Linked DNA regions of Coturnix japonica. The protein of the gene in region 1 interacts with the protein of each later gene in a pairwise test. Links are inferred from orthologs where the notes say so. Each region holds a gene or a part of one and is shown on either strand. Other genes may lie near its edges.

Region 1 (3,814 bases):
AGCCCACTTCTTCACAGTTCTTCAAGAATCGAGTTGGTGTTGGTGTCTGATCTGAAATCAAGTTTACACAAAGCACATGATTTTACTTTTAAAATACCATGTGAGAACAGATGCATTGTAAATAATTTTCAGAGTCAAAGGAGACAGCACCAATATATCAAGATATTGATTTGTAATTACATGAATACATAGCTTTCTCTAAAAATAATACAGGTTACCTGAAGAACAGTAAAAACTATCTGAATGTATTCAGATAATTATTCAGGAGCCTCAGTGGGTTTTATGCTACAAAGGATTTCTTCTAACTTAAAATCAAGAAGATACCAGGGAAACTTATAAATTTAAGAAATCTGTACTTAGCCTACATAAAGATGACACCAATGGGGTTATTTATTTTAACTAGCTTTACAGTTGACGGATGTATTAATACTTCAAGTTATTTAGCAATTCACTTTAAAATTACTTCACTTTGTCCAGAAAACTAAATGTATGAAAAGTGAGGCTGTTTTTATATGTTTAAGATGCACTTGCATTCATGTAAACTGTTAATTAGGTACATATTTTGAAGACTGATTAAAAGAAAAAAACCTTAAAGATCTGTGTTGATTTTCTCATGATGTACAAATAATCAATGTGGTTAAGAACACTTTGCCTTGAAAGCACGCTTCTTTCTGCCTTGCAGGAAAATAAGCCACAAGGCATACCCCACCTGCTGGAGACAAGTAGTTTGATTTTGCAGACCACAACCCCCTAACAGTGCTGGAAGGATCAAAGATTTCTTCTGTCCACGTCGATCAACCATATGCAGCATTTCTCAAATGCCAGCCTAGCACACCACATCACTCTGGTGAGCAAGCAGGCTCTAGTTTCAAAGGCAAGATGTGCATTCATAGCTCACAGTTTCTTTCTTATATTATGAAAATGAAAGGAATCAATACCAAGTGAGCGAAATGCAATAATAGGACATATGATATTGGACAAAATACTTAATTGCCTCCCGTAATGCCTGTACAATTGAGCTGCAGTTTTAAGACTTCTGGCACCTTGATTACTACTGCCTGAAATAGTTTCAAAAGTCTTTCTGTAAATTTACTATGTAAATTCCTCTATTTCACTACTATTACCAGGTAATTTGACACACAGCAACTTCAACTGAAATATCATTAGCGTTATTACATGCATCTTCACTAACATAACCTAGCAGTTATGACTACAGTTCATGCGCTGGAACATAATTGCAAAGAGACAGAATGTCCTCATAGTTTCATTCTCACACACCTGATAACAGAGAGTTAATAGTACAGGAAAACATTCACAAAACACTTCACAGACAACTACAATGAAGAAAATATTTCAGTTTCATAATGCACATCTACTGATTAAGTACAGAAAACAGACCAAAATGAATGCACATACCACCATAAAATATGAACAAACTAGTTATAAAAAATTATATACTAACCAGCCACAATGACACTATCATTACGAGCCGGACCAAATTTCAGTGTCATCTCATGTTTATGTTTGTGGACAGCCAAATGATCCTCATTGGTAAAACGCTGTGGCAGAAAGATGTAAGAAACACCATTTTGAATACAAACACACTAAATACAGTTCCACAGAAAGTCACTTCCATAACATGTAGAACAGCTGTTACCAAATTAAAAGACAACTCTTTGGAGTATCTTCCTTGTTGGTCAACAAAACCAGCAAAAATATGGTAAAACTCAAATAATGTTCACAGTAACCAAATAGCAGCAGTATCAGCAAAATGGCAGTGTAAGTACCTGCAGTCATCAAAAGGCCATGATAACATTTCAGAGTGCCACAGACTCCATCAACCATCAGCAAACAGCCATTCGCTATGTTAACGGATCTTGGCAGTGTTTAGTAATTGATTACCACAATGTGATACCTGCACTGTTTGGTGTAATCACAGTTATGAGAATTGATCTCTAATCACAAACATAGACTTACTGTATTTAACAGCAAAATAACAAAATAAAACGTAACTCCTGCCCCTGACAGTTTACTAATTAACGCAAGGCAGATGGAATGGGAAGTAATGCTATATCATCAAACCACTTGAATGGCTATGAATTATCAAAACTTATCACAATTTTAAAAGCTCCCAAGTTTTCAGAAGTATCCCAGCAGTATTTTGCACACTCTTCCACAATTTAGGGTACACTACATGAAGGAAGCAGCAAGCAGACAAACTACATGCTGTACAATAGATTATTTTTCCTTTAACTTGGAACTTGCTATGCTGCTTTGACTGTGAGTAAAGTTAGTAATTCATTTGACATAATCTAAGAAAAGTCTTCCCAAAACATGTTTCTACACTTGAAATATGAATAATGAAATATGAAATGAATGAAATACTATAACTCTTACTTTTGTGAACACCTGGGACCCACACATCAATATAGAGGAAAAAAAATGCAGCTGGTTTAAGAAATTGGTTCTATACAAAAGGCAGCAGGAAAGTCAACCTCATGCAGCACATAATGTAAACTGACTCATTTTCATGTTGCTAAATAAAAAACATTTTATCTATTAAAACACTAAAGTGTTCATTAACTATTTTTTGTTGTTGTTTTCTGTTCATTTAGTGCTACATCTACTAATAATACTTCTAATACAATGTATTAGAAGTATTAACTAATAATACTTCTAATACAATGTATTAGAAGTATTATAGCATTTTGTAGCATGCATAATGCTAACACTTGCCTTTATTTAAAAAAAAAAAAGCATAAATAAATATTATTCTATTAAATTTTTGCAGTCACCATTGATGGGAAGATTAATCAGTTTTAAACCACTGAGAAGTCAAAAAACCGTGAAATTTAAAACACTTATTACACACAGAAATCCTGCAAGTTTCACAGTGAGCTCCTCATTAATGTTGAAATATACTGAAAAATGTAGGTTACCTACACATTTATTGGGTGTGTATATAAACACGTGTACACTTCTTTACAGAAACAAATAAGACAGGCCTAAGAAAGGAAACTGTCTTCATTATATGGCTATTATTTTTCTGAACAAACTGACAATTTAAATGCCAGAAATTCTTGCTGCCACCTGCTTTTCAGCAGAACTGGAAAACATGGGTACTTTCTATCAATTAAGTCATTTTTCTTCAGTCCCTGGAAATATGTTTCACTGATTTACTTTTATTCAACTGTCATTAATAACTTTGAGTCAGACCATTACCTGGCCACATCCAGGGGCAGTGCATAAAAAGGGTTTGTCATCACTCATATTCCACAGGTCGTCGTGCTACCTGTACCAAAACAACAGTAGAAAGCACGTTACAAATATTGCAACAAGTTATCAGTACATCAACATCCACGGGAAATTTTAATACTCTATAAGCAAGAACTGCTTTCTGACTGCACTATGAATCTAAATATCCAGCATGGGAGGAGCACCTGGACAACAAACTCTGTAAGTTTGTAGCCAAAATCAAACAGATTTTAAATGTGTACCTCAGTTGGAAAGGCAAGTGTTTGCACACAATGTAATCAACTGCAAAAGGCATGTGAAAACATAGTAAGACAGTTTGATACTGAAACAAAAGTATCTTGTAATAGTTACCCAACTCCCTTCACCCCCTGCCAAGAAAAGCACAAAGCGGCAGATAAATAACGAGTACTCAAGACCACAGTGCCAACAGATGAAAGCGGTTGATTAGATAGTTTTCTTCATAATCATGTAAACTTTTTAATAATCATCTATTTTTTTTTTCCTCCATGCAAAGCAAAGCTAGCAGGGAGCCCATTATGTACTCTTTTACAAATATAAC
Region 2 (4,436 bases), on another chromosome or scaffold:
TATTGCTTTTCCTGCTTTCCTTATTGTGGAGGTTTTTGAGATGTTTGTTGTCTTGGATTCCCTTGGTAATGACACGACACGTAATCTATTCCTGTTTAAAGTTGTAATGATAGCAAAGTCGTTGTAATTAACGTAGTGCAGGTAAGCAAATAGTTGCCTTGGGACAGCAGTGTGGGTAAGTTAAATTTCCACGTGGACAACCCCAATTGTGCAGTTCCCTGTTTGCTACTGCTGTGACATGGCAAGAAGTGGTTGGGGTCACGTGCCTTGACAAGAAGATAGATTTCGCTCAGAGATATCTAAAAATATACTGTAAATCCACATCGGTGCAAATTGGAGTAGAACCCAGCTCCTCACTAAGCGAGGTAAACACAAAAATCCAAGGGCAGTGAACTGCCAGCAGGTAGAAAACCACTTGTCCAGCTGCAGAGGTTTCCTCACTTTGAGTCTCAATGACCACAAAAGAGCCAAAGATTTCCCACATCCCAGGGGTGAAACGCTGAAACCACTGAAATCAAAAGGAGTTTTGCTGTTGACCTCAGTGGGGCCAGGATTTCACCCTTGGTTGTTAAATATGAGGAAATAATTAGGAACAATTTGTTATTCAGAAAGACCTTGGGAAATTTATGTAATTCTCTTCAGAAAGCCCCTGCTCATGAGTCACATTTAAAGTGCCGATACATTTTAATACTATAATCTCAGAAAGCCACCAGTTACTTTTTTCCCCCCGAGTCAGAAAGGCCCTGTGATTTCCAGCTGAACTGCTGGCATTATTTAGCACTTCCCAACACTCAGCCGTTCAGCTCACTGAAGCAGCCAGACTCCGTGACACTGAGCCCCCACTGTTCACACAATTTGGAGCTGTGCTCCCTGACCGTCGGTCTGCTCCTCTCCTGCTGCTGCCTTCATTCAAAACACTTAATTCCATATAACTCAATCAAACCAGGAGATTTCAATTAACAATAAAACCATTTCTCCAGCACATGGAATAATTAATTGGGCCAAGCATTTCTCAGCATGGTGGGAGGGTGGAGGGGGGGGAGGTTATTCGTTTATATTTCAGTTTAGGTCAACTTTAATTAAAGTCAGCGCCAGAGGAAACGAAGAATGCCCGTGTTTTAGTAACGTGCCTGAGAGTTGCTCTTATCTACCAGGCAGTGCTATTCCTACAAGAGCTAAGTGCACCACGACCCCCAGTGCAACCCTACTGTAATGTCCTCAGGTATCTATTGATCCACTTTCAGTTTATAAAAACATGGAAGGGAGGCTGTCACTGGGAAGGGAAGCCCAGAAAGAGCAGTGCCCTTGTCTGCACGAATCGTTGACCTCCCAGGCACCCTGACAGCGTCTCCCTTTACCCATACTTTGGAGCGGGGGCCCTGCCAGAGGCCAGGCAGGCTGGAGGGGTCCTGTCCCCAGCCCACCACAGCTGGCAGGGCTCCTTGCCCCACGCTGACTCTCCAGCGGGGCTGGGGCCGGTACATGGCATGGCAGGATTCCTTCCAGTGCACGGCTTTGGTGGTCGGGAGTGACAGGGATGTCAAAAATAATTAGCCTGTGCTGAAGCCAATAGTAAGCCAAACAGATTGGCTTTCCATAACAAAAGGTAGATGTTTTCCAGTTTCTGAGGAACAGATCTACTTTTAGAAATGCGTTATGAGGATGGAGATTAGATTTTCCTAATAAACATAAACCGCAGCAGTTTGCCCTTTCTTCTCCCAACTTCTGCACAAATTGTTCCTCTGTCTGTCAGCTTTCAAGAGTGTCATGCCGCTCTTCCCTAGGTCTGCACAGCAATAGGGATATCTAGCCTCAAATTGCAGTTACATCTGGGCTTCCTGATCCTATCTGTTTACTTCATTAGACCGTGCACATGGATGGCAGCTCCGGTCTATTTTGAGGACTTCTGAAGTTACTGGAACTGAAGGTGTCGAACATTTCACAGACCTGACCCATAAAGGCACAGCTTGCTCCCGCTGCGAGCTCACGCTTCTTTACTTTATTCTTAGTTTGGCAATTCCCCGGGGAACATTTCTGCTATTGCTGGTACCTTCGGCTTCAGGTAGATTCAATCAAGTCTGCTCCCGTCACTATGCTTTGTTTGTTCTTTTCTCAGCGGCTCTTTTCATCCTCACCAAATCTACCCATCTCCTCTGCCGATGTTTTCGCTTCGGCACACGATTCCTAGCCGTGCACTTCTGTTAGTTATGCGTATTCCCGAACGACTTCTCGGAGTCTTTCCGCTCGGCTGCTGACGGCTGACCTCTCGGTTTTGCTTCTTCTCATGAATTCCTTCTCCTCTGGTGCTGATGCAACAAACGCCGATAACCATTGAGGTTAATCTTAAACAGCATTAAGGGCAATTACAGTTCACAACCTCCGTGCACGCCGGTTGACCTTAAGCTTTCTGACATCCCACATCACTCCCGAACCACTTTCCGCCGGCATCCACCCGCTCAAAAGCCAGAAGAACCCATTTCGAACGGGAAGCTACTTCTCTCTAACAACTTTTCTATCGAGCCACGCCTGCCTCGCTTAGGCGAGACTTCAGCAGCCGGTCTCCGTGTCGGACATCGGCACAGAGAAAGAACCGCGCGAGTCCCTACCGCTTTTCCTCCCGGTGGTGCGGGCTGCCCGGCGCCCCGCAGCCGCTCCTCGGCGCCCCGTTGGCGGTCGGAGCGGCGGTCGGAGCGGCAGCGCGGGCGGTCACGGCCGGCATCCCCCCGGCGCCGAGCCCCGCGCTGCCCGCCCCCGCGAGGCGCCGAGCGGCACGGCCGGCCCGGGGCAGCCGCTCGGGACTCCGCTCCCGCCGCACCCCGGGAGCGGGCTCCTCCGCTTTGCCGGCTCGTCCCTCTCCCCGGAGCCGTCCCGCGGTTCCTACCTTGGATCCGCCGCCGGCCGGGGCTGTTCGCCGGCCCCGCCGCGCCCGCTCTTCCTCCCGTGCCCGCTCCGCCGGCGGGAGAGCAGCGCCCGCTCGCGCTCCCCGCGCCTCTGCCTCTCGCCGCGGTTGCATCACCCCCCTTATATAGCCGAGCGGGTAGAGCTGGTATTTACTCTGGCGGCGAGTCCCGGGCTGATGTCATGCTATTAATAGCTCCCGGAGGGCGGGCGGCCGGGCGGGGGGGCAGCGGGGCCCGAGGCGGTGATGCAAGGCTTTCCCATTGCACGGAGGGCGGGGCGGCGCGGCCTCGCTCTCCATAACAGGAGCTCACCGAGCCGGGCCGGGCCGCCGGGACCCCGCGGGACCCCCTCCCCCAAGCGGCGGAGCGCCCCGTGCCGGCAGCGACCCGCGGGACGGCAGCGCCCGGCACCCGGCACCCGGCACGGGGCCGTCCTCCCACGGCGCTTTCTTTTCCCCTTCCCTTTTTTGTTTTTTTTTTTTTCTTCTTCTTTTTAACAGACTTCAGGGGGCGTCCCGACTTCTCAGGCGTGCGGGACTTAGCCGTGCTGCTTTATCATAAATCAGAGTCCTTCTCACGGCTCGGAGACGGTCAAACTAAGTGAAGGCAGCGCGGCTTTCGAAAGGACTAGAAAACGGGAGCCCTTTTCGCCCCCAAACTGTTGAACGCCCCCTCCCGAAAAAAGCCGAACCACCCCGCGCTCGCTCCGTGCCGCTCCAGCTGACGGCCCGAAACGCTTCCCCGTATCGGGGCGGGGGGCTTCAGTTCTTAGCCCGAGGAAACGGGGAAGGAGCCGTTTAATTAAATTCCAGAACGCTGAAAATAAATAAATAACTTCTCCCCTTCAAACGGCGCAGCACGCGATGTCGTTCTGGTTTCGGGGATAACCGGAGACTCCCCGTAGGAGGCAGGGGAACGTGTTAGTGGCGGTGGTGAAGGGGTTTTGTTTTGTTCTTTTTTGTTCCCACAGCTTCCTGGTTCGGTAAGTGACAGCAATTGCCTTCCAAAAACGCTAGAAAATAGACGTATCAAAAAAGCACCTATCCGAGAGCGCGAGGCTCGCAGAGATTTGCACAGAGTTATCCAATACGATAATACTCCATCCTCGGTTCATACAGACTTGTTCTCTTTGGGTCTCCCTGCTAAGAACGGGAAGAGCTTGGAGACTCGTTTATTCACTTACAGCACAGACCCCGATCAGCCCTTCAGGCAGTTAATTCATTTTGCAGCGTTCACGGGGCTGCATTTGGTAACGGGTAACACGTCTCGAGTGGGAAAAGCTGGCACATATCGATAGCTTAGAGCATTTAACCGAGGACACGGATTTCTAACATTAGTCTGAGCCCGTCCGTACCTCACCTCTGTGCGCTGTGTCCACACGGGTGTATGTGTGCATACATCAACTCACACGCTGACCACCCAGATGGGAAGCGTACTCTCAGCTTTTGAAATGTCACCGTGCTAGCACGCTCAGCTCTGCAAACACAGCGTTCCTATTTCAAATTTAATTGCCTGCCTTGGGGGGGAAAAAAGAAA

What was found.
Region 2: the proteins of ATF2 (region 1) and ATF3 interact in binary tests that used the Homo sapiens proteins (3 or more experiments, as listed by UniProt). The link is inferred for Coturnix japonica from reciprocal best matches to the Homo sapiens genes ATF2 and ATF3.

What each region holds. Positions count from the first base shown.
Region 1 is NC_029522.1:14,857,126-14,860,939, reverse strand, and holds part of ATF2 (cyclic AMP-dependent transcription factor ATF-2), read right to left. Parts: intron 3,293-3,814; 5' UTR 3,271-3,292; coding exon 3,223-3,270; intron 1,560-3,222; coding exon 1,463-1,559; intron 52-1,462; coding exon 1-51. UniProt on the Homo sapiens protein: Transcriptional activator which regulates the transcription of various genes, including those involved in anti-apoptosis, cell growth, and DNA damage response.
Region 2 is NC_029518.1:19,271,958-19,276,393, forward strand, and holds the start of ATF3 (cyclic AMP-dependent transcription factor ATF-3), read right to left. Parts: upstream 3,019-4,436; 5' UTR 2,882-3,018; intron 2,552-2,881; exon of another isoform or gene 2,307-2,551; 5' UTR 1,948-2,306; intron 1-1,947.